Linked DNA regions of Macaca fascicularis. The main gene of each other region encodes a partner of the protein of the gene in region 4 in a complex. Links are inferred from orthologs where the notes say so. Each region holds a gene or a part of one and is shown on either strand. Other genes may lie near its edges. The genes, in order: RANGAP1, XPO5, PKIA, XPO1 and E3 SUMO-protein ligase RanBP2.

Region 1 (4,226 bases), on a different chromosome or scaffold from region 4:
TCACCACGTTATCCAGGATGGTCTCAATCTCCTGACCTCGTGATCCACCCTCCTCAGCCTCCCAAAGTGCTATGATTACAGGCATGGGCCACCACGCCTGGCCAAGGGACTTCTTCTTGGAGGCCATTTGTGGGGGACATGGGCTCCCCAAGCACACACATGGCATAGGGCAGGAGGTAAGGAAGGTTGGCTGGGCTGCCCTCACATATGTGGCAGTGGAGCAAAGGACCCCAAGGGAGGTGGCTGCCTTAGTGAAGGAGCAACGCAGGAGCCAAGAGAGCTGCAGCCCAAAGGCAGGGTGCTGGGTGAGGTGTGGCCAGGCAGGAAAATGGGTCCTCATTCAGGACTGCCACTGCCCAGGTGGTGGCCTGAGGCCGAGGCCGGGCCCTTCGCAGGGCTGACTGCCCTCACAGACTGCTGTGGCGCCGTGTGCTCTGCCGAGGTGGGACTCCACGTATGATGGCCCCCGAGACTATCCCGCTTTAGGTCAGAGTTTGAGTCTCTGAAGCTGTACACATGACTTTATTTGTGAAGCCCCCGGGCACAGCCCAGACACACACAGAACACAAAGGGGAAAGCATGGGGCAGTCACGGGCACGCAGGGAGGTTGTACAGCATCTGCCCAGTCCAGACCCCACTGCTCCCCTGCGCCAGGAGGTCCTTCAAGAGCAGCGTCCAGATACGGCTCGGACACTGGGGACCCTGCCCCTCCCTCCACAGACTGGACAACAGCTTTGGGTTGTCAACACACCCCCTCCAGCTTGGCCCCCAGGCCAGTCACAGACAACATCTCAGCAGCCAGGAGAGGGTCCGCTAGGTCCGGGGCCAGCGCAGTTCCAGCAGCTCCTGCTCCTGGACAATCTGGTGTCTGCCTGGCCACACGGCATGGGGCCCAGGGTTGCCCTCTGCCAGCAGCCCCATGATCCCACCCCCACAGTCCCACCCATGGTATTCTCTGCTCTTCAGGCTGAGCGCTCAGCACAGTGGCATGGATGGTAGGGAGGACAGCTGCTGCAGGACCAGGGCTTGGTGACGAGAAGCAGCCGCAGGCAGGACAGGAAACAGCCCAGTCACAACACAGAGGGGAAGGACAGCACGCGGGCAACTCCCTGGGCTCTGGCTCCGCCAGGGAGCCGGGCTGGAAGGCAGGTGGGTGGGGACAGCCATCAGGGCCCAGGTGGAGATCAGCAGAGCGCCGTCAGGTGAAGGTGAGTTTAATGGCGGAGCAGCTCACAGTCCTTTCCCCTGGGGGCCAACTCCCCACAACAGAGCAGAGCCAGGCCAGCAGAGAGAGGTTCAAACCCAAATCCCGACAGGAGGCACAGACCTGCACGCGTACCACACCTACACACATATTCAGGGGACTGACAGGACACACGGGACGCAGACCCGCCCTGCCTCTGACCAGAGTCCTGTCCAAGGCAACGGCGTGGGTTGTGCCTCAGTTCCTCCGAGTCCCTCCCCAGCTCACTGGTCCAGGCCAAGGGATGGGAGAGGCTTTGAGTCTAGACCTTGTACAGTGTCTGCAGCAGACTGTGGCGGGCAAAGGAGCAGGATTCCAAGGCGCTGTTGGGCCTGCGGGGAAAGAAGGGTCAGCAGGTGGGATGGATGCCTCTTGGCCCCCGTTTTCCAAGTGTGGGGGCCATTTTGGTACCAGACTCATTTTTGTTAATTTGCACAATGACTCAGCAAGGGAGACATTGCTGATGACTCAGCAAGGAAGACAGCAAGGGAGACTGCACGTTGTGGGTGGGGGTAGGAGGGGTGAGAGGTAGGCACCCAAGGCCACACAGCCCAGAGCTGGCCACAACACAGCCCCACCTCAGCCAGGCTCTTCAAGGGCCTTTCCAGCAGACATAGGCCAGGGAATCCTCACTGGCTGCCAGTGGCCTCACATGACTGGCCCACTAGAGTCCAATCTGGGTCATAAGTAAATGGCTAGCCATTGTTTTTTGGTTGTTTTTTTCTTGAGACAGGGTCTCTCTTTGTTGCCCAGGCTGGAGTACAGTCCTGGAATCACGGCTCCCTGCATCCTCGACTTCCCAGGCTCAGGTGGTCCTCCTGCCTCAGCCTCCCAAGTAGCTGGGACCACAGATACACACCACCATACCCAGCTAATTTTGTATTTTTTGTAGAGACGGGGTTTCACCAATGTTGCCGAGGCTGGCCTCGAACTCCTGGGCTCAAGTGATCTTGCCTCAGCCTCCCAAAGTGCTGGGATTACAGATAGGAGCCACTGCGCCTGAGCTCCCCATTGTTGCCCTCAATATCATTAGTTTCACTGCAAAGAAAGAAACTGAGGCAAGACTCTGGGGCACTGGGCAAGTGTGGGACGCAGCCAGGACCAGGCCTGACAACACCTCTGGCCTGTAGCTGATGAACAGGCCAGGATCTGCACCAGGCCTGGGATCCCAATTTGGCTGGGAGCTGAGGGAAGAGGGGCCGTGCATGTCACTACAGAGTTAATCCATCACCTCGGACGAGACCTGGGGGGCAGACTGAGGCCTGTGCTGGAGGTTGGGCAACAAGCTGGGAAAAGGCATTCTGCTCTAACAGGGCCGAGGGGCTCATGCCCAGACTTAGGACAGCACAGGGGCTGCCAGAGATGCAGAGGGAACCACTCTGACCAGGGAGTAGGAAGGACACAAAGGACTCAGGTGCAGGTACAGGGAGGGGCTGGGGCCACTGGCCAAACAAGCTCTGGATAGCGTGGACAAAGCTCGGCACCGCAGCAATGGCATTGCTGTGGAAAGGGGTTCAGGGGGCGCACACTGTGCTGGGGTGGGGTGGGGTGAGGGTGAGGCTGTGGCCAGCCACAAGATTCACAGTGAGGCTTGACCTGGCCCCTGGCAGAGGAGGGAGACAGTGAGATCTGCCATTCACCAAGGCCAGTCCAGCTGCAGCCCAAGGAGTGGTCTGGGTGGGGGGCACGCGGCCAGAAGGTAAGGCCTGGCTAAGGAGACAGCGCCGTGCGGACAGACACTCCAGACGCTGGGGTGGACAGGGCTGCTCACACTCCACCAGCCCCGCCTCCCCACATGCACCAAGCATCCTGCCTCGGCCGGTGGGCTCTGGGCTCCCCCAGCAAAGGGACTTTCTTGCTCCTCTACCTGCCCCACTTCCCCGGATGGCGCCGACTGACTGGAAGTGTGGCTGGTCAGGGTGCTTGGAGACAATTTCACCTAACCCTCCGGTTGGGCAAATGGGGAGACTGAGGCCTGATGAAGGCCACAGGTTGGCCAGGGGCCACACAGGGCCCCATGAGGGTGTACGGGGCAAGCCTCCCCACCCCTGGTGGGGCCTTGGCTCTGTTACTTGACTGTGCCCATCACCCCATCAATGCCCCAGGACTCCCCAGGACCATCCAGAACAAGGCCAAGGTTCCTACATTGCTGGGCATTTTGGCGGCTCCCGGGGCAATGTGTGTCCCCAGGAGAGGGCCTGGGGCTGCAGGGCCTAGTGTGACTGGGCCCCTTCGGCCTGCACTACTGTGAGCATGGACAAAAAGCCCCTCCAGAGATGTCACCACGCATAGCACCTTGCTCACAGACGTGGGTCTGGACACTGGCCCAGCCTCTTCCTAGTGTGTGACCAAGGGAAACTCTTTAACCAACCCGGTGCTCCTTTCCTCATCGGCAAAATGGGGGCGTTACATGTCTCCTCTCTCACTGCCCCTGAGCCCTACTGTCCTCAGCTAGGCAGAGGGGAGCGGGCCTCCCGAGGGTGGTGAGACTCCAACACAGATGCTGAGAGCCCAGGAAGCATGAGGGCCTCTTGTGCACCCGAGCAGGGCCAGCAGGCTGGCTGGGCTGGACCTCCTGGGACTGGAGGCCTTTGGACCTGGCCAGAGAAGCCTGAGAGGACAGGCCGCGGCAGAAGGACAACAGGGCCACACTCACTTGGTTATGAATGCCAGCAGCAGGGGTGCAAGGGCCTTGGGGAAATAGTCCTGCTGCACCATGTGGTTCAGTGCCATCAGGGGGCCGTACAGGTTGGCAATGGCCTTGACCTTATCTTCACTCTGTGAGGGGAACACAGCGAAAGGCGGGGTGAGCGTCAAGTTCACCTGGGCGGCCCCTGGACTCCACCATCCAGACTCTGCGGGCGGTGCTCACAACTGAGTCCAGCCGGAACCTCATCATGAAGATCGAGGCTGCTGGGGCGGACCCAGGCCTCAGGGCCCAGTGGGTGAGACGGCTCAGGACTCGAGGTGAGGGAGGCTGGCA
Region 2 (3,510 bases), on a different chromosome or scaffold from region 4:
TTACAGGCGTGCATATTTCTATTTCTTGAGACAGAGTTTTGCTCTATTGCCCAGGCTAGAGTGCAGTGGTACGATCTTGTCTTACTGCAACTTCCACCTCCTGGGTTCAAGTGATTCTTGTGCCTCACCCTCCCAAGTAGCTGGGATTACAGGCACATGCTATTGCGCCCAGCTAATTTTTTTGTATTTTTAGTAGAGACAGGTTTTCGCCATGTTGGCCTCAAACTCCTGACCTCAAGTGATCTGCCCGCCTCGGCCTCCCAAAGTGCTGGGGTAACAGGTGTGAGCCACCGTGCCCAACCTAATTTTTGTATTTTTAATACAGACAGGGTTTCACCACGTTGGCCAGGCTGGTCTCCATCACCTGACCTCAAGTGATCCGCCTGCCTCGGCCTCCCAAAGTGCTGGGATTACAGGCATGAGCCACCATGCCCAGCTGTGAAACATAAAACTTTTATCCCTTTTCTGTGTTTTTAGAAGCACTTGCTTTTTTTTTTTTTTTTTTTGAGACGGAGTCTCGCTGTGTCTCCCAGGCTGGAGTGCAGTGGCTGGATCTCGGCTCACTGCAAGCTCCGCCTCCCGGGTTCACGCCATTCTCCCGCCTCAGCCTCCCAAGTAGCTGGGACTACAGGCGCCTGCCACCACGCCCTGCTAGTTTTTTGTATTTTTAGTACAGACGGGGTTTCACCATGTTAGCCAGAATAGTCTCGATCTCCTGACCTCGTGATCCACCCGCCTCGGCCTCCCAAAGTGCTGGGATTACAGGCTTGAGCCACCGCGCCCGGCCTAGAAGCACTTGCTTTTTTTTGAGACAGGGTCTCAGTGTTACCTAGGCAGGAGTGCAGTGGTGCTATCAAAGCTCACTGCAGGCTCAAGTGGTCCTCCCACCTCTGCTTCCTGAGGAGTTTGGACTGGACCACAGATGTGCACCACCACACCCAGCTATTTTTTTATTATTATTTGTAGAGATGGGGTCTGCATTATGTTCCCCAAGCTGGTCTCAAACTCCTGGGCTCAAATAATCCTGCCTCAGCCTCCAAAGTGCTAGAATTACAGGCCTGAGCCATCACACCCAGCCAGAAGAAGCACTTTCACACTTCATTCTCATTCAGACCCCTATTACTAGTTGAATCTCTGTCTTTCCTCTTTTTTTTTTTTTTTTTTTTTGGGAGATGAAGTCTCCCTCTGTCGCCCATGCTGGAGTGCAGTGGCGCAATCTCGGCTCACTGCAAGCTCCACCTCCTGGGTTCACGCCATTCTCCTGCCTCAGCCACCCGAGTAGCTGGGACTACAGGCGCCCGCCACCACGCTCGACTAATTTTTTTTTTTTTTTTGTATTTTTTAGTAGAGATGGGGTTTCACCATGTTAGCCAGGATAGTCTCGCTCTCCTGACCTTGTAATCCACCTGCCTCAGCCTCCCAAAGTGCTGGGATTACAGGTGTGAGCCACCGCAGCTGCTGAGTGTTTCTTAAACCTGAAATTATAAGGAGAATGGTGAAGGAGGATTTGTTACAAGGATGTCCTCCTTCCTATTTTTTTATTCCTACTTTCTGGCCAGGGACCATAATGTGCAGCCTGACGGAAGTCCTGCTAAACTAAGAGTATAATGGAATTGAATATCAGTGCCATTTAGGATTTTAGGAAAAGAACTTTAAGATTTTTCACTGTTAACACAGGATATTTTTGACATCTGGTAAATCTTTTAGGGATTGATTGTGCCCAGGGGTGCAGCCCACCACCTGACAGGTGAGGGATGTGTACTTATGCACTAAAATTTCTTAACTTGCTGCAGCACGGGTCTTTGTAAAGCCTCTGGTGCTCTTCTGTCCCCCAGAGCACTATGAAGCCCTGGTATCCCCCATCCTCGGACCTCTTTTCACCTACCTCCATATGGTAAGATAAGTCAGGAACAGGAAGCAAAGAGTACTATTAAGGCCTGTGGCCATTTTTGACCCTTGCAAGTCAGGAGCTCCTAGAAGTGTTGTCTCCTAGCCCTGCCAGACTGGCTGGGCAAAGCTTCTACCCCAGCAGACTATCCTTGCTGTAGGATCGAGCAGCTCCCAAAGAACTAAACTGATTTAATTGCCACAAGGCAGCTTCAGTTGCAGATTCTGCTCCTAACCTCCTGTTAACTGAGGAAAGGTAAAAAGAGGAATGCTTGCTCACAGACCCTTGCCAGGAATGCTAGGTCTGTTATCCTGACTCTGGAATTAAACAGGGGACTGGCTGGGAGACCCAGGAATTCTAAAATTGTTAATTCTTTCCAAGCAAAGAAGTGTTTGAGATACCACCCTCAGCATGGATGTGGGACAGGTTATAGAAACCATAGATGGTTTTTTTTTTTTTTTTTTTGAGGCGGAGTCTCGCTCTTGTTGCCCAGGCTGGAGTGCAGTGGCCGGATCTCAGCTCACTGCAAGCTCTGCCTCCTGGGTTTAAGCCATTCTCCTGCCTCAGCCTCCCGAGTAGCTGGGACTACAGGCGCCCACCACCTCGCCCGGCTAGTTTTTTTTGTATTTTTAGTAGAGACGGGGTTTCACTGTGTTAGCCAGGATGGTCTCGATCTCCTGACCTCGTGATCCACCCGTCTCAGCCTCCCAAAGTGCTGGGATTACAGGCTTGAGCCACCGCGCCCGGCCCATAGATGGTTTTTTTAACCTTGTGGTGTGGAGTCTACAGAGGTTGTCGTTGATGTCTAGAATCATCCTTGGCTAACTTTAATCATGAAGTGGACTTGACTTTAGATACTATGTATTCCAATCCTTTCCCCAATTCTAGCATTTATTTCCTTTGTGTTTTCCCAGAGGCTTTCCCAGAAATGGCAAGTTATCAACCAAAGGAGCCTGCTCTGGTAAGGGATACCTACCCACTCTTCTTGGTGGATGAGCTGGCAGCCAGATTTGGGGTGGGGAAAGGAAGCGGGCAGGGATTCTGCTGTCGCAGGGTAGAAGAGCAGTAGGTTGTAGTCATTCTCAGTCTAGGTGATACATGGCTTGTCTGGACAGGCTGTGACCAGCAGGCAGACTGAGATCCAGCCTTTATAGGGGCTACTGTTACCTTACTCACTTATTTTGATTCTGTAATGTCTATCCAACTGGACAGAATCACTAGTAATAATGTCCTTCAGTGGATCACTGCTGTCCATTCCCAACTTTTGCATAAAACGAAGACTCGAAGAAAGTGGTCACAGAGAGTCTGATTAGGGTCACTGCTTTCTTTCTGCACTCCTGTGGAACTTGGCCCTCTGGTTTTCTGCAGTGGAGAAGATGAGGCTGCAGATGAAAACCCAGAGTCTCAAGAGATGCTGGAGGAACAACTGGTGAGGATGTTAACCCGAGAAGTCATGGACCTAATCAGTAAGTGGCAAGTAGAAACTGGGGCTATAGAGAATTTTCCTGGAAAAGAGCTGGTCACTCAGCCAACTCCACGAAGGCCTGACTAATGCAAAGGATTCATGTTTGCGGCCTGGCATGGTGGATTGCGAGGTCAAAAGATCGAGACCAGCCTGGCCA
Region 3 (4,305 bases), on a different chromosome or scaffold from region 4:
GAAATTTTCCCATCCAAATTCCACACTCTGGAATTCTATTCATATACCCCTTTTATACAGATTAAGAATCTCCTGCTCTATGATAATATTAATGACCTAATGTTATGAAAGTGAGTCTCAGAGCGATGAATTAAGCTGTTCTAACTTTCAAAGAGCATACATTCTATGGCCAAGAATTCTAAGTTTTCTTGGAAAGCTCTTGGCTACATTACTACCTAACTTTTGGACTGATGGATAGAAACATTTCATTTAGCAAAGGTGCTTCCCTGGCCTTGTGCAATTGCACTATTTAGGTTGCTGGACAAATCTATAGTGTAAAACTGGCCTGTATCAAGTGATGGTCAATTCGAACAGCAAGGCAAGTTAAAAGAGGGAACTCCATTCCACAGAACCCTAGTGTCAAGGAACCTCCCTGCTAGAAAATTACTCAACAGCTAGGGGGAATCCCTGGCTCAGCTACAAAGAGAGCAAATTTAGGCTCATTTTTCCTTAAACATTCAACCCTCACACCAGAAAAGATTTGGGAAAGAAGCAAAAGTGGAGGGTGGGGGTGGGAGTGGGGGTGGGGGTGGGGGTGGGGTGGGGAGAGAGAACAATCTTGTTAATAAGGGCTTATATGAACACACGCTTGTTTCATTCCCAAGGCAAATTTCATAAATCCTTAGGGAAAGAAAGAGATACAGTCATCTGCTAATGTAGATTCTGCATTTTGATTTCCAAATGTTACAGCTGTCACCACAACGGTTTGTCCAATTATGTGGCAGGGAAGGGAGGGGGTCCAGAGCAGAGGGAATAGGAGGAAGAGATGTTAGAGGGAACATCTGTGCACAAGTGCACCATAAACACAACAAAATCATGGGGCCACCCTGCTGCTTCTTTGAGCACTTTCTCCGGTTGGCCCCACTTCTCCAGTCTTTTGGGAGATTCCCGTTCTATTACGTAGACGAAAGGTTCTAGCTTTCAAAATTGTGAGTGGTTGGGCTGTGTGTGTACGTGTATGTGTGTGCGTGTGTGCATGTGTGTCTGTTGGGGGGGGCGGGTGATGGAGCCAGCTATGAAGGGCTTAGAAAGCTTCATTACCAATTTAAAATGTTCTTGTAGTGCTTGAATGTTTATCTTAAAAGACAATTCCTGCTCTCAAATTCAGCCAAATGAACAATGCTGATAAGGAAGATGAAGAGGGTGGGAAACCCACACTGGCGAATGGAGCAGTCCATGCAGCCGGGGTGATGGGGGAGCGCTCAGAGGAAGGACGCTATGCAGAGAGAGCCCCCCCCTCCCCCCGGCTCTTCTCTCTCGGTCCATAATCCAGCAATGCTGCAACTGTAAAAGCATTAACAGAAAACCAACCCACAACCTCGGGGGGGCAGCGATCGTTGGGTGCCAGTTTCAGGCTGCCTTCCGTGGGGTCGGGAGCGGCCCCGCTCCCCCTGCGGCTGGCGCGGAATGTGGTGATCCGGCCCGGGGCGGGGATGACTTCATGCGGCCAGAGCTCCGCGGCGGGAGCGACGGCTGCAGCTGGCAGGTGGGGCGCGGGCCGGAGCGAGCTGACCGAGCACTCGGCGGGCGCGGCGGGACTCCGTCCCGTGGCGGCGGGCGCGGGAACCTGCGCTGACTAGGTCCGGGGAAGGTAAGCAGCCCAGCCTCGGTGCTCCCTGGCCACACTGCGTGGAGCTTTCCGCTTGGTTAATAATGGGGTTTGCAGCTCGGAGGGAAGAAGGGGAGAACCCCACTGCTTTCTGCAATGGGAAAAGGAGCAGCAACTAGGATGGAAATGTTAGGAGACCAAGTGCAGAGGTTGGAGGAGCAGTGTTACTGGGCAAACAAAGAAGGCGTTCTTGCCTCTATACACTTTTGAACGTGATCTACCATTTCAGTGCCAGATTCGCGTAGACAGTGAAGAGGACTCAAAATGTAAAATAATTTGAATTACTCTCTTCCTTCTGTGCCCCTCTCAATGTCAAAACACCTGCTTCAAGACTGAACCTTTAGAAAGAGCCTGTATTTGGAGGGGAAACTTCTCTTATCTCCTGGAGTTCAGCTTGGGTTGAGCAGCACTTGACATCGCTTCTCCCTTCATTTGCCATTTTCTCTGTCAATCATTTCATTGATCTTTTTCGGAGATGCTGTGCCCATTCACAGGCCAACTCTTGTCAGCTCTTATCCGCTACCTGGGTTCCATGACTGATTTTGTCAAGGTCCCAAAAAGGGCATTGCCTCACACAGATTTCTTATTCGGTATTCTACCTGTATACTGTTACCTGTGTCCTTCCCCCAAATGCATGGAATGAAATATCCTGTTTGTAGCCCTGTACCAACATGGTAGCCCATTAACTCCGTTCGCTGTAGTCACTGTGGCTACTTGCAAGCTAGAGAGGACACATAGAATCCACTGGAGTGTGAGGGATGTTCCCTACGCATAGGCATAGGTAGAAGTAAAAATGTGAATGCCAGTCCATCCAGTTTTTCTTGAAGCAATTTTAGTCCAGCTGGGTTTTGAGACAGCTAACTGTTAAGATTTGGGACAAATCGTTTCTAAAAGGTAGGGGAGTCCGTTTGCCTCTAGGATTCCTCGATAACCTCAAAAGAGTTTCCAGTGAGGCTTTCCCCGTAGGCAGTCAGAAAGCCAATGGAGCTGCCCAATCTAAGCCCCTGGTTATTTGAGTATCCTCTAGTTTGTCTTGCCATTTGCAGGTTCCTATCCTTCATCCTAGGATTTTCCCTACAGACCCCTTGCTACTGAGCCCAAGTGCCTATCCTTGTTGCCACCTAGAGATGTACATTTGAATAATATGCTGTGAAATGGTTAAGATGGCTGTTATGGGGATTGCAAACGTGCTGCCACTTCACCAACAGAGAACAGTTGCAATAAGCCAGATTGTGGGGTATCTGTGTGCCAATGTTCTATTTAAAGGGAGATCTGTTATCTTTAAAACTTGAAATTAGAGAGACTGACTCAACAGCCATGCAATTTTATTTCAGTAAATTAAATTAGAAGATCAATGAAAAAGAGGGGCAGAATTGGTAGCTTAAAATTTTACCTCTGCTTATTTTCCTCTTTGACTATTATTTTTAAACAAAGATACTAGTATGGAAAATCATGTTAATCATATTATATATCATTCTTGCCTTTCTGATTGCAAATTTCTTTTTTTACAAAATACACTTTCGAAATATTTGAATTTGTTTCTTTGTCTCCATCTTCAGTATATGAGGCATAGGGTGTGTGTGTGGGGGGGGGGGCAAAGCCCACTACTGAGTGACCCACTCCAGGAACTGTCCCTTGGGGTCAGTCAGGTCCCTTTTTTGTTATTATTATGTGTCAAATAGGGTTTTGGTTTGGAATATTAACTTCTTGAGATTCTAGAATTTTTACTCAGTCACATTAAAAGGTAACAAAGAACAAGATCAACAAAAAACCCTCTATTCTACCACCTTTTTTCTAGTATTAAAATACTTAACCATATACATCATTATGCTGAAGAATAATAAATATTAATATAGAAGAATAATTTTAATATAATTATTCTAAATAAACCTAAGGTATATGACATGCAGATTAGTACAATTGATCTTAGAAATACAATGCAGTTTCTATAATGTTGACAGTCACCTTTCTGTTGAAGAGCAAGTGCGTGAGAATATCCTAATGATGGTTAGAAATTCGAAGTGTCTATCATTTACTTTCTGAAGAAACAAAACTCTTTGGCAGGAAATAGTTTCAGGATTAGGAGACTGGTGCTGCCTACGGTGGAATAATACTTGCTAGTGATTTTGCAGGTGAGTTGAACCCAACAATTTATGAATTGGAGTTGGAGAAATCTTGTTAAGAAGAAAACAAGTTAGAAAATTTAATTTTCATTTTAGTACAACTGAGGAAGATAATCAAACTGAAGGGATTTCTGAATTTGGACTTTGTTATGTTTAAACAAGTTTGAGGAAAGTTTCTAAATTTAGAAGCCTAAGCAGAAATGTATGTATGATTTTATGTCTGAAACTGATTTATGACTTTATTTCCTTTCCTTAAAATGTTTCCTAGGGAGAGGAAAAACTAATTGGCTGGTGTTCAGAATTGAAAGAGGAATGAAAAATGGAAGGATGTGCATGATTAGATGCTAAATGACTAGATACTAAATGAACTGCAGGCATTTTTGTGTTTGACAAGATAGAACTGAAGTCAATCTACTGCTTTCCAATTGTGTTTATGAAAAAAAAAAAAAAAAAAAAAAAAAAAAAAAAAAAGTTTAGTCTGCTAGGCAGTGTTACCAGAAATTTAGAGAGTAAAAATTTAGGAGTCAAAGTTGC
Region 4 (3,510 bases):
AAAAAGGTTAAGGACTACTGACTTAACCAGTTAGGTTTGAGTGGCATTGGCTTTGAAGAAAAGCAGAGGAAAGATATTTTTTATAATTCTGGGCAACAAAAAGTTGGATGTGTGCCAGCATCTTAGAGTAGAATCCTCTTAAAAGGATAGCGTTGCATATGAACTAGTAGGTTTTAACCAGTACATATTTTGGCGAAGTAGCTCATTTTTCTCTTAGAATTCTTTTTTATTTGGGAATGGGCAGGCTTTTACAGCTTTTAACTTGCCAATGAATCTTGTTAGGCATATTGCCCGTAAAGTTTTTTTTCCTAGATTATATATTCAGTAAATATGATTGTAGATGTAATTTCAATCCCCCAATTCATTGAGGGTTGAAACAATTTGAATGGTTTGAGTGTAGAAACTAAGTTATTTCTGTAGAGGCTAAGGGGATTTATACCAAGATATGTTAGACTTGTGGTTCCTGCTAACCATTGCTGTAGACGATAGGAATTACTGTATATCCACATTTTGATTTTTAACGTCATTCTGTCTTTTTTTGTTTGTTTTTTGAGATGGAGTCTCAATTCTGTTGCCCAGGCTGGAGTGGGGTGACGCATCTTGGCTCACTGCAACCTCCATCTCCTGGGTTCAAGCAGTTCTCCTGCCTCAGCCTCCTGAGTAGCTGGGATTACAGGCGCCTGCCTCCACGCCTGACTAATTTTTCTATTTTTAGTAGAGATGGGGTTTTGCCATTGTTGGCCAGGCTGGTCTGGAACTCTTGACCTCAAGTGATCCGCCCACCTCGGCCTCCCAAAGTGCTGGGATTACAGGTGTGAGCCACTGCGCTCAGCCCATTCTGTCTTTATAGAATTATTTTTATAAAGTTAAGATAATGTGAAGTGAGCTTTTACTGAGTTATCCAGAAGACCCTAGTTGGGAAGAAAAGAAAAACACATTCACTTGAACTTAATCCTACTTGCTTAAGAAGTTTGGACATCAAGATACTGAACTGTATCATGTTTTAGGACCATAAAATCCTAATAGTGGATGCATTTAAATAATAGGTTAGCATACTTTATAAATGTTAGTAGAATAGGGGAGTCTTTCTGGTGTATAAACAAAACACTAGAAAAGTTGAATGGACCATAATAATTTATGTAATTATCAAATAGCTAAGTAATTTCAGCTTATGTTACTGGCTTTTACTTTCTGTTTTTTGTAATTAAAGTCTCTAAAGTATTCATTAAAATATTTGTAATAACATGGTTGAAGTAAAATAACTTGTAGGAAGTTTCTGATAATTCCAAAACTTCATAGGCAGCTTCAATGTTTTTTCTTTATTTTCAGTAATCTATGCCAGCAATTATGACAATGTTAGCAGACCATGCAGCTCGTCAGCTGCTCGATTTCAGCCAAAAACTGGATATCAACTTATTAGATAATGTGGTGAATTGCTTATACCATGGAGAAGGAGCCCAGGTAAAGTAACCAACGAAAACTTTATAACATTTTGACAGTGTAACAGAGTTGTTGGGTTTAGAATAAAATTTTAAATTATCACCTTTAAAAAAGATATTCCATAGTTTGTGTTAATTTGGAATTCTATATTAACCATAATGAGAATTGGTTTGGAGAAAAAAATTGCATAATGTTTGATATGGTTACATTGGGTTGTTTTGAAATACTATTCTTATACTTGTTCTGTCCTTAAGAGCCGAATGTTATTAAATACTTTGTAGGTATTAAAGGTTCTCTGTACTTTTATATATACTTAATATGTTTGGAGCTAATATGATTCTTCTACTTTTAAAACATTTACAGAAGTACTTCACAGACATGTTTGTTTAATTAAAAACAGGAATACCAAGTATTTTTATGTTAGTTGAATTTCATACACTTTTCTAAGTGGTACTGTTAATGTAGGGAATTATCTTGAACATAAACCATGCTTTGATCAGTTTAAGTTTTTCGCTTTTTTGAACCCAACGAAAAGGTGAAACAGAAATGTGTGTAAAATTTTAAATTGTATGTGTCACAAGAAAAAAAAAACTTGATTTTTTACCTGTGGGGCCAAACTTTTTTTTTGTTTTTTTTTTTGAGACAGAGTCTTGCTCTGTGTCCCAGGCAGGAGTGCAGTGGCATGATCTTGGCTCACTGCAACCCCTGCCTCCTGGGTTCAAGTGATTGTCTTGCCTCAGCCTCCCTGCTAGCTGGGATTACAGACGCGCGCCACTATGCCTGGCTAATTTTTGTATTTTTAGTAGAGACGGGGTTTCACCATGTTGGCCAGGCTGGTCTTGGAACTCCTGACCTCAGGTGATGCACCTGCCTCGGCCTCCCAAAGTGCTGGGATTACAGGCATGAGCCACCTTACGCCAGCCCAAACATGTTTTTGAATGAGTAAAAAGTTCTGCAGTTGGGTCAGAAATCTTTTTTTTTGTTTTTTTTTTTTAAGATGGAGTCTCGTACTGTCACCAGGCTTGAGTGCAGTGGCACAATCTTGGTTCACTGCAACCTCCGCTTCCCAGATTCAAGCAATTCTCCTGCCTCGGCCTCCCGAGTAGCTGGGACTACCGGCGCACTACCACGCCCAGCTAATTTTTTGTATTTTGGTAGAGATGGATTTCATATTGGCCAGGATGGTCTCCATCTCCTGACCTCGTGATCCGCCTGCCTTGCCCTCCCAAAGTGTGGGGATTACAGGCATGAGCCACCACGCCTGTCCAGAAATCTTTTAAGGTAGTTTTGTTGCCAGAACAGTAGATTTCTGGTTAGATGAATGTTCAGCTAATAGATATGAGGTTACTTATATTGTCAAGATATTTGTATTTGCATAATTAAGAAACTGAGTGCCATTACACTTTTTGAAAACATGTAAGATGCATATAGTACTATCTTTTATAGGTAGTCCAAAAAGCATCATGTATAAATGTTTCCATTCCCTTGTGGAATCTAACAATACTGCTTTCACTATAGTGGAAACTTGAAAAAGGGCTGTGGAAGCTCTAAAAGCAGAAAACATTACTCTGCAGTGATTCTGTAAGCTTGTTAGTCCGGGTTTATACTCTTAGGGCGTTTTGATCAGTACTTTATCTCCAAAAGCATTCTTGAAAAAATTATCCGTCAGTATTTATTATCCCTGTCATTTAGTTGTTACTCATGCTGTACATTCAATATGAAGCTTTAAGCTTCATTTCTTCTAGCATGGATGCATAGAAAACAGCTGCTTTTGGAGGAAGCTATGAAAGTAAGGTTGGGTTCAATTTTGAATATAATATTGGAAGCACAGGTCTGTAGCCATTGGGGAAAAAGGCATTTAATTTTTTCCACATAGATTCAGCTACTAATACTATTTAATCTTTGCACTAAGCTAGTTCACTACATCTAAAGGTATGATAAATAAACCAACAGAGCAGTGTTCTTCATGGCTTATAACAGAATTAGTGGTAATTTTTATAATTGAGAATATATTACAGTAATACTGCTTTTAATAATGTTTCATAGTATTAAGAAATTTAATGGTTTGTT
Region 5 (3,997 bases), about 44 Mb from region 4:
GCTGGGATTACAGGCGTGAGCCACCGCGCCCAGCGGAATGCGTGGGTTTTGGCATAAACCGGTGGTTCTGGAACCAATCCCCCGCCAAGGGATGACTTTAAAAAATTGTAATTGTCCAAAACTTAGTATTTGTGGCCTACTTTTTCATTATGCAATTCTAAATTTTTTTTTTTTTTTTTGAGACGGAGTCTCGCTCTGTAGCCCAGGCTGGAGTGCAGTGGCCGGATCTCAGCTCACTGCAAGCTCCGCCTCCCGGGTTCACGCCATTCTCCGGCCTCAGCCTCCCGAGTAGCTGGGACTACAAGCGCTGCCACCTCGCCCGGCTAGTTTTTGTATTTCTTAGTAGAGACGGGGTTTCACCGTGTTAGCCAGGATGGTCTCGATCTCCTGACCTCGTGATCCGCCCATCTCGGCCTCCCAAAGTGCTGGGATTACAGGCTTGAGCCACCGCGCCCAGCCAATTTTTTTTTTTTTTTTAAATTCAGACGGAGTCTTGCTTTGTCGCCCAAGCGGAGGGCAGTGGCGCAATCTCTGCTCACTGCAACCTCCGCTTCCCAGGTTCAAGCGATTCTCCAGCCTCAGCCTCCCGAGTAGCTGGGACTACAGGTGCGTGCGACCCCGTCCCGCTGATTTTTTTTTTTTTTTTTTTTTTTGTATTTTTAGTAGAGATGGGGTTTCACTGGGTTAACCAGGATGGTCTCGATTTCCTGACCTCATGATCCGGCCGCCTCGGCCTCCCAAAGTGCTGGGATTACAGGCGTGAGTCACCACGCCCGGCCCTCATTTCTTTTAATAAATACGAATTTTAAAATGTATACTTTAGTATTCACACGTCCGATGCAACGTATTTAACCAGTCATCTCCAGAAACGTTGTTCCAATTTACACGCTCACCAACTTGGCCTGAGTGCTTTTTTCTTCCAATGCGTGGCGCACTTATAATTTAGAACAAGCGACCAAAACGCTTAAGAGCCCATCACGCAAATTGTTATCTGCTGGAAATCTACCCCCACGCTGTGGACGCGGGGGCCGAAATCTGATCCCGGCTTCCCAAGACACCGCTCAGAACCCAGGGAGCTACCAAGAGCCCGGCTGTGTGCAGCTCTAGCGCCGACGTCGCCAACGTGGCGCACAGTGCTGACGCAGTACGCAAGTTCGTCGGGATGGTCCTCCGCCGGCGACGTCGCTGCGTCACTGGTTTGCAGGCGCTTTCCTCTTGGAAGTTGCGACTGCTGCGGGGCTGAGCGCTGGTCTCCCGCGCCTCGGGAGCCAGGTTGGCGGCGCGATGAGGCGCAGCAAGGCCGACGTGGAGCGGTACATCGCCTCGGTGCAGGGCTCCGCCCCGTCGCCTCGAGAGGTGAGTGGATCTCGAAGAGACCGACGGCTTCGACCTGGCCGGGCGGCGGCCTCGCGAGGCTCGGGCGTCATGGCTCCCGACGGGCGCTGCTCCCTGGCGCGCACTGTTGAGGCGCCGGCCGGCTAGCGCGGTCCTGTGGGCGGCGTGGCGCTGGCAAGCGCAGGGAGAGCCCTGGGGGGACCGCTGTGGGCGGGAGACCGTTGGCGCCGGCGCTTCCTCTTTCTCCCGGCCTGTTCCCGACGGTCCTCGCTCGTGGGCCCGCCCTGGCCCGGGCTTTCTGGCCGGTCGCGCGCCGCGTAGTACCCGCGCGGCCTAGTTCTCGGGGGGCTTGGGCACCCGGGTGCTATGTCGGCGGGATTCTTCCCATCCCCCGGACATTTTACGTGTTGCGGCGGAGGTCGTACCTCCTTGGCCTGGGGGAACCCAGTGGGGACTGACGCAGCTCCCGGGTGCGCTTTGGCGGCTGTGACGAGTGACAACGTAGGGATCTCAGCGCGAACGTTTGCAACGGCCCGACGGCGCAAATGACACGCGAAGTCCCCTTGTTTTGAGTATGAGATGTTTGTCGCTGTCCCTTTATAAGGGTCCAGCTCCACTCCTCATACTCACCTCCCCCACCCCCAGAACAGTTTGGTAGGTGCTTTTGCTTTAAAAAAAAAAATTATAAATTTCTTATAAATCGTTAGTATGGCTTACAATTTTTAACCTTTTCCACAAATGTTCTTAGGATATTTTTCCTCTTTATAGGTAAATAATGTGATCTGTTTTGGATTCAGTAAGACTTTAGCAATTGGATCTAAAGAGTGACGGAAGAAGCTATTAAAGGTGGATGTGCACAGAATGTTGAGTCAGTTTGCTTTGGCTTGAATAATCAGCCCTGTCGTTCATAAGCTGGGTATTTGGGGCCAGTTGCACTTTCCATCCATAGGTGGAGTTGTAACATTGATAGAATTTGATAGGATCCATTTTAAACATTTAGGGTTGTGCTTGATACATAGCACTGAATGTTAGCTACAAGTCACTGTTTTTATTGTTGATGTTAAAAGGATATTGGCGGGGCCCGGTGGCTCACGCCTGTAATCCCACCACTTTGGGAGTCCAAGGAGGGCGGATTGCCTGAGGTCAGGAGTTCGAGACCAACCTGGCTAACATGTTGAAACACCGTCTCTACTAAAAATCCAAAAAAAAAAAAAAAAAAAAAAGCCGGGCGTGGTGGCGCACGCTCGTAGTCCCAGGTACTCCGGAGGCTGAGGCAGGAGAGTCGCTTGAACCTGGCAGGCGGAGGTTCCAGTGAGCCGATATCGTGCCACTGCTCTCCAGCTTGGGCGACAGAGGGAGACTCCATCAAAAATAAAAATTAAAAACAAAAAAACCAAAAAAACAAACGGAAACTCACGGATGACCATGATTATAATAGCAGCACAATTGTGTCTTTTATCATAACTAAGTGTAGGTTATCTTATTTTGTGCTTCCAGCAGCCCTGTGGATATTGAGACCTGTAGAGATTAAAGATACCTGTTCAGGGTCAAATAGGAAGTGCAGCAGAATTTTGGCAGTGGTTCTGATTTAGTTTCTCTTGGGAACAGTGGAGTAAGTTACAGCCTGTTCCTCCAGAGAGGAGGAATAGATACCTACTTGTACATTGTAATTTCAAACTGCTGGCGTAGTCATAAATATGAACGTGGTGATAGAGTCTAAAACAGACCTTATTGAGGGTTCCAGTAACTCCTGAAATTAAAGACTTTAATTTTTATGGTTTTTTTTTTTTGAGGTGGGGTCTCACTCACTCTTGTCACCCAGCTGGATGCAGTGGCGCTATCTCGACTCACTGCAACTTGCGCCTCCCCAGCTCAAGCGGTCCTCCCACCTCAGTCTCCCGAGTAGTTGGTACCACAGGTGCACCCACCACACCGGCTTGTTTTTTTTTTGTTTTGTTTTGTATTTTTGGTAGAGACTGGATTTCACCATGTTGCCCAGGCTGTTCTCGAACTCCTGGGCTCAAGTGATTTCCCTGCCTCCACCTCCCAAAGTGTTGGGATTCCAGGCGTGAGCCACTGCAACATCCATTATTTTATTTTTGAGACAAGGTCTCTTTCTATCTCCCAGGCTGGAGTGCTGTGGCGGGATCATGGCTCACTGTAGCGTTGACGTCCTGGACTCAATCCATTCTCCCACCTTAGCCTCCTGGGTAGCTGAGACTACAGGCATGCCAGCTACAGGCATGCACCACCATGCCCGGCTAACTTTTTTCTTTAATGTAGAGACGGGGTCTTACTATGTTACCCAGGCTGGTCTCCAACTCCTGGGCTCGAGTGATCCTCCCGCCTTGGCCCCAGGTGCTGAGATTACAGGTGTGAGCCACTCTGCTCAGCCTGTTTTTTTTTTTTTTTTTTTAAACAAGCTTAAAAAAAAAAAAAAGCAAGCTTAGAGCCTTTCTGAGATTCTTAGGGGGGACCTTGGCTTCCAAAAGATTAAAAACCACTGGTCTAGACAGAAGTTAGAATGTTCTTTCAACTACATAACTTTTCCATTAAATAAAGTGGAGTGGTGGCAAAATTTTGAGGATTCATTGTTATGACCACTTCTCTCTTTACACTTAAAGAATATTTTTTTTCCCCCAAACAAATTGAAAGTCATTTA

The links.
Region 1: the proteins of XPO1 (region 4) and RANGAP1 are in contact, whole or in part, in a cryo-EM structure (PDB 9B62), measured with the Homo sapiens proteins. The link is inferred for Macaca fascicularis from reciprocal best matches to the Homo sapiens genes XPO1 and RANGAP1. Residues at the interface, in NP_003391.1 of Homo sapiens: Lys245, Ser248, Thr249, Tyr252, Lys253, Glu281, Gln282, Val284, Thr285, Leu289, Met292, Gln293, Gln296, Arg340, Asn342, Leu343, Lys514, Val518, Ile521, Lys522, Leu525, Glu529, Arg532, Lys534, Lys537, Ala538, Ala541, Met545, Phe554, His558; in NP_001265580.1 of Homo sapiens: Ala2, Asp5, Ile6, Leu9, Ala10, Thr12, Leu13, Ala14, Thr16, Gln17, Val18, Ala19, Gln22, Leu23, Ser24, Phe25, Lys28, Glu44, Arg55, Ala561, Thr564, Lys565, Pro566, Ser568, Glu571, Ser572, Ser574, Phe575, Arg577, His578.
Region 2: XPO1 (region 4) and XPO5 share a complex: the UniProt entries of both Homo sapiens proteins name them as parts of the nuclear export receptor complex. The link is inferred for Macaca fascicularis from reciprocal best matches to the Homo sapiens genes XPO1 and XPO5.
Region 3: the proteins of XPO1 (region 4) and PKIA are in contact, whole or in part, in an NMR structure (PDB 2L1L), measured with the Homo sapiens proteins. The link is inferred for Macaca fascicularis from reciprocal best matches to the Homo sapiens genes XPO1 and PKIA. Residues at the interface, in NP_003391.1 of Homo sapiens: Val518, Lys522, Leu525, Cys528, Glu529, Lys534, Lys537, Ala538, Ala541, Ile544, Phe554, His558, Lys560, Phe561, Thr564, Lys568, Phe572, Glu575, Thr576, Val580; in NP_006814.1 of Homo sapiens: Asn36, Leu38, Ala39, Lys41, Leu42, Ala43, Gly44, Leu45, Asp46, Ile47, Asn48, Glu51.
Region 5: the proteins of XPO1 (region 4) and E3 SUMO-protein ligase RanBP2 are in contact, whole or in part, in a cryo-EM structure (PDB 9B62), measured with the Homo sapiens proteins. The link is inferred for Macaca fascicularis from reciprocal best matches to the Homo sapiens genes XPO1 and RANBP2. Residues at the interface, in NP_003391.1 of Homo sapiens: Trp60, Val63, Asp64, Leu83, Asn97, Gln98, Gly101, Ile102, Lys104, Tyr105, Val107, Gly108, Ile110, Ile111, Leu134, Phe149, Asp152, Ile153, Gly155, Ala156, Ser157, Arg158, Thr159, Ser160, Glu161, Leu163, Cys164, Asn167, Leu208, Phe211; in NP_006258.3 of Homo sapiens: Val2508, Val2509, Ser2510, Pro2511, Pro2512, Lys2513, Phe2514, Val2515, Phe2516, Gly2841, Phe2842, Gly2843, Ser2845, Thr2846, Gly2847, Leu2848, Ser2849, Phe2850, Ala2851, Leu2853, Ala2854, Asn2857, Ser2858, Gly2859, Asp2860, Phe2861, Ala2862, Phe2863, Gly2864, Ser2865.

Annotation. Positions count from the first base shown.
Region 1 is NC_088384.1:10,364,316-10,368,541, reverse strand, and holds the end of RANGAP1 (ran GTPase-activating protein 1), read right to left. Parts: intron 4,022-4,226; coding exon 3,900-4,021; intron 1,576-3,899; coding exon 1,506-1,575; 3' UTR 504-1,505; downstream 1-503. UniProt on the Homo sapiens protein: GTPase activator for RAN. Converts cytoplasmic GTP-bound RAN to GDP-bound RAN, which is essential for RAN-mediated nuclear import and export. Mediates dissociation of cargo from nuclear export complexes containing XPO1, RAN and RANBP2 after nuclear export.
Region 2 is NC_088378.1:127,992,348-127,995,857, forward strand, and holds part of XPO5 (exportin-5), read left to right. Parts: intron 1-1,796; coding exon 1,797-1,894; intron 1,895-2,802; coding exon 2,803-2,849; intron 2,850-3,256; coding exon 3,257-3,354; intron 3,355-3,510. UniProt on the Homo sapiens protein: Mediates the nuclear export of proteins bearing a double-stranded RNA binding domain (dsRBD) and double-stranded RNAs (cargos). XPO5 in the nucleus binds cooperatively to the RNA and to the GTPase Ran in its active GTP-bound form.
Region 3 is NC_088382.1:88,302,056-88,306,360, forward strand, and holds the start of PKIA (cAMP-dependent protein kinase inhibitor alpha), read left to right. Parts: upstream 1-1,501; 5' UTR 1,502-1,630; intron 1,631-4,305. UniProt on the Homo sapiens protein: Extremely potent competitive inhibitor of cAMP-dependent protein kinase activity, this protein interacts with the catalytic subunit of the enzyme after the cAMP-induced dissociation of its regulatory chains.
Region 4 is NC_088387.1:60,389,896-60,393,405, forward strand, and holds part of XPO1 (exportin-1), read left to right. Parts: intron 1-1,329; 5' UTR 1,330-1,335; coding exon 1,336-1,461; intron 1,462-3,510. UniProt on the Homo sapiens protein: Mediates the nuclear export of cellular proteins (cargos) bearing a leucine-rich nuclear export signal (NES) and of RNAs.
Region 5 is NC_088387.1:16,208,398-16,212,394, forward strand, and holds the start of E3 SUMO-protein ligase RanBP2, read left to right. Parts: upstream 1-1,195; 5' UTR 1,196-1,284; coding exon 1,285-1,356; intron 1,357-3,997. UniProt on the Homo sapiens protein: E3 SUMO-protein ligase which facilitates SUMO1 and SUMO2 conjugation by UBE2I. Involved in transport factor (Ran-GTP, karyopherin)-mediated protein import via the F-G repeat-containing domain which acts as a docking site for substrates.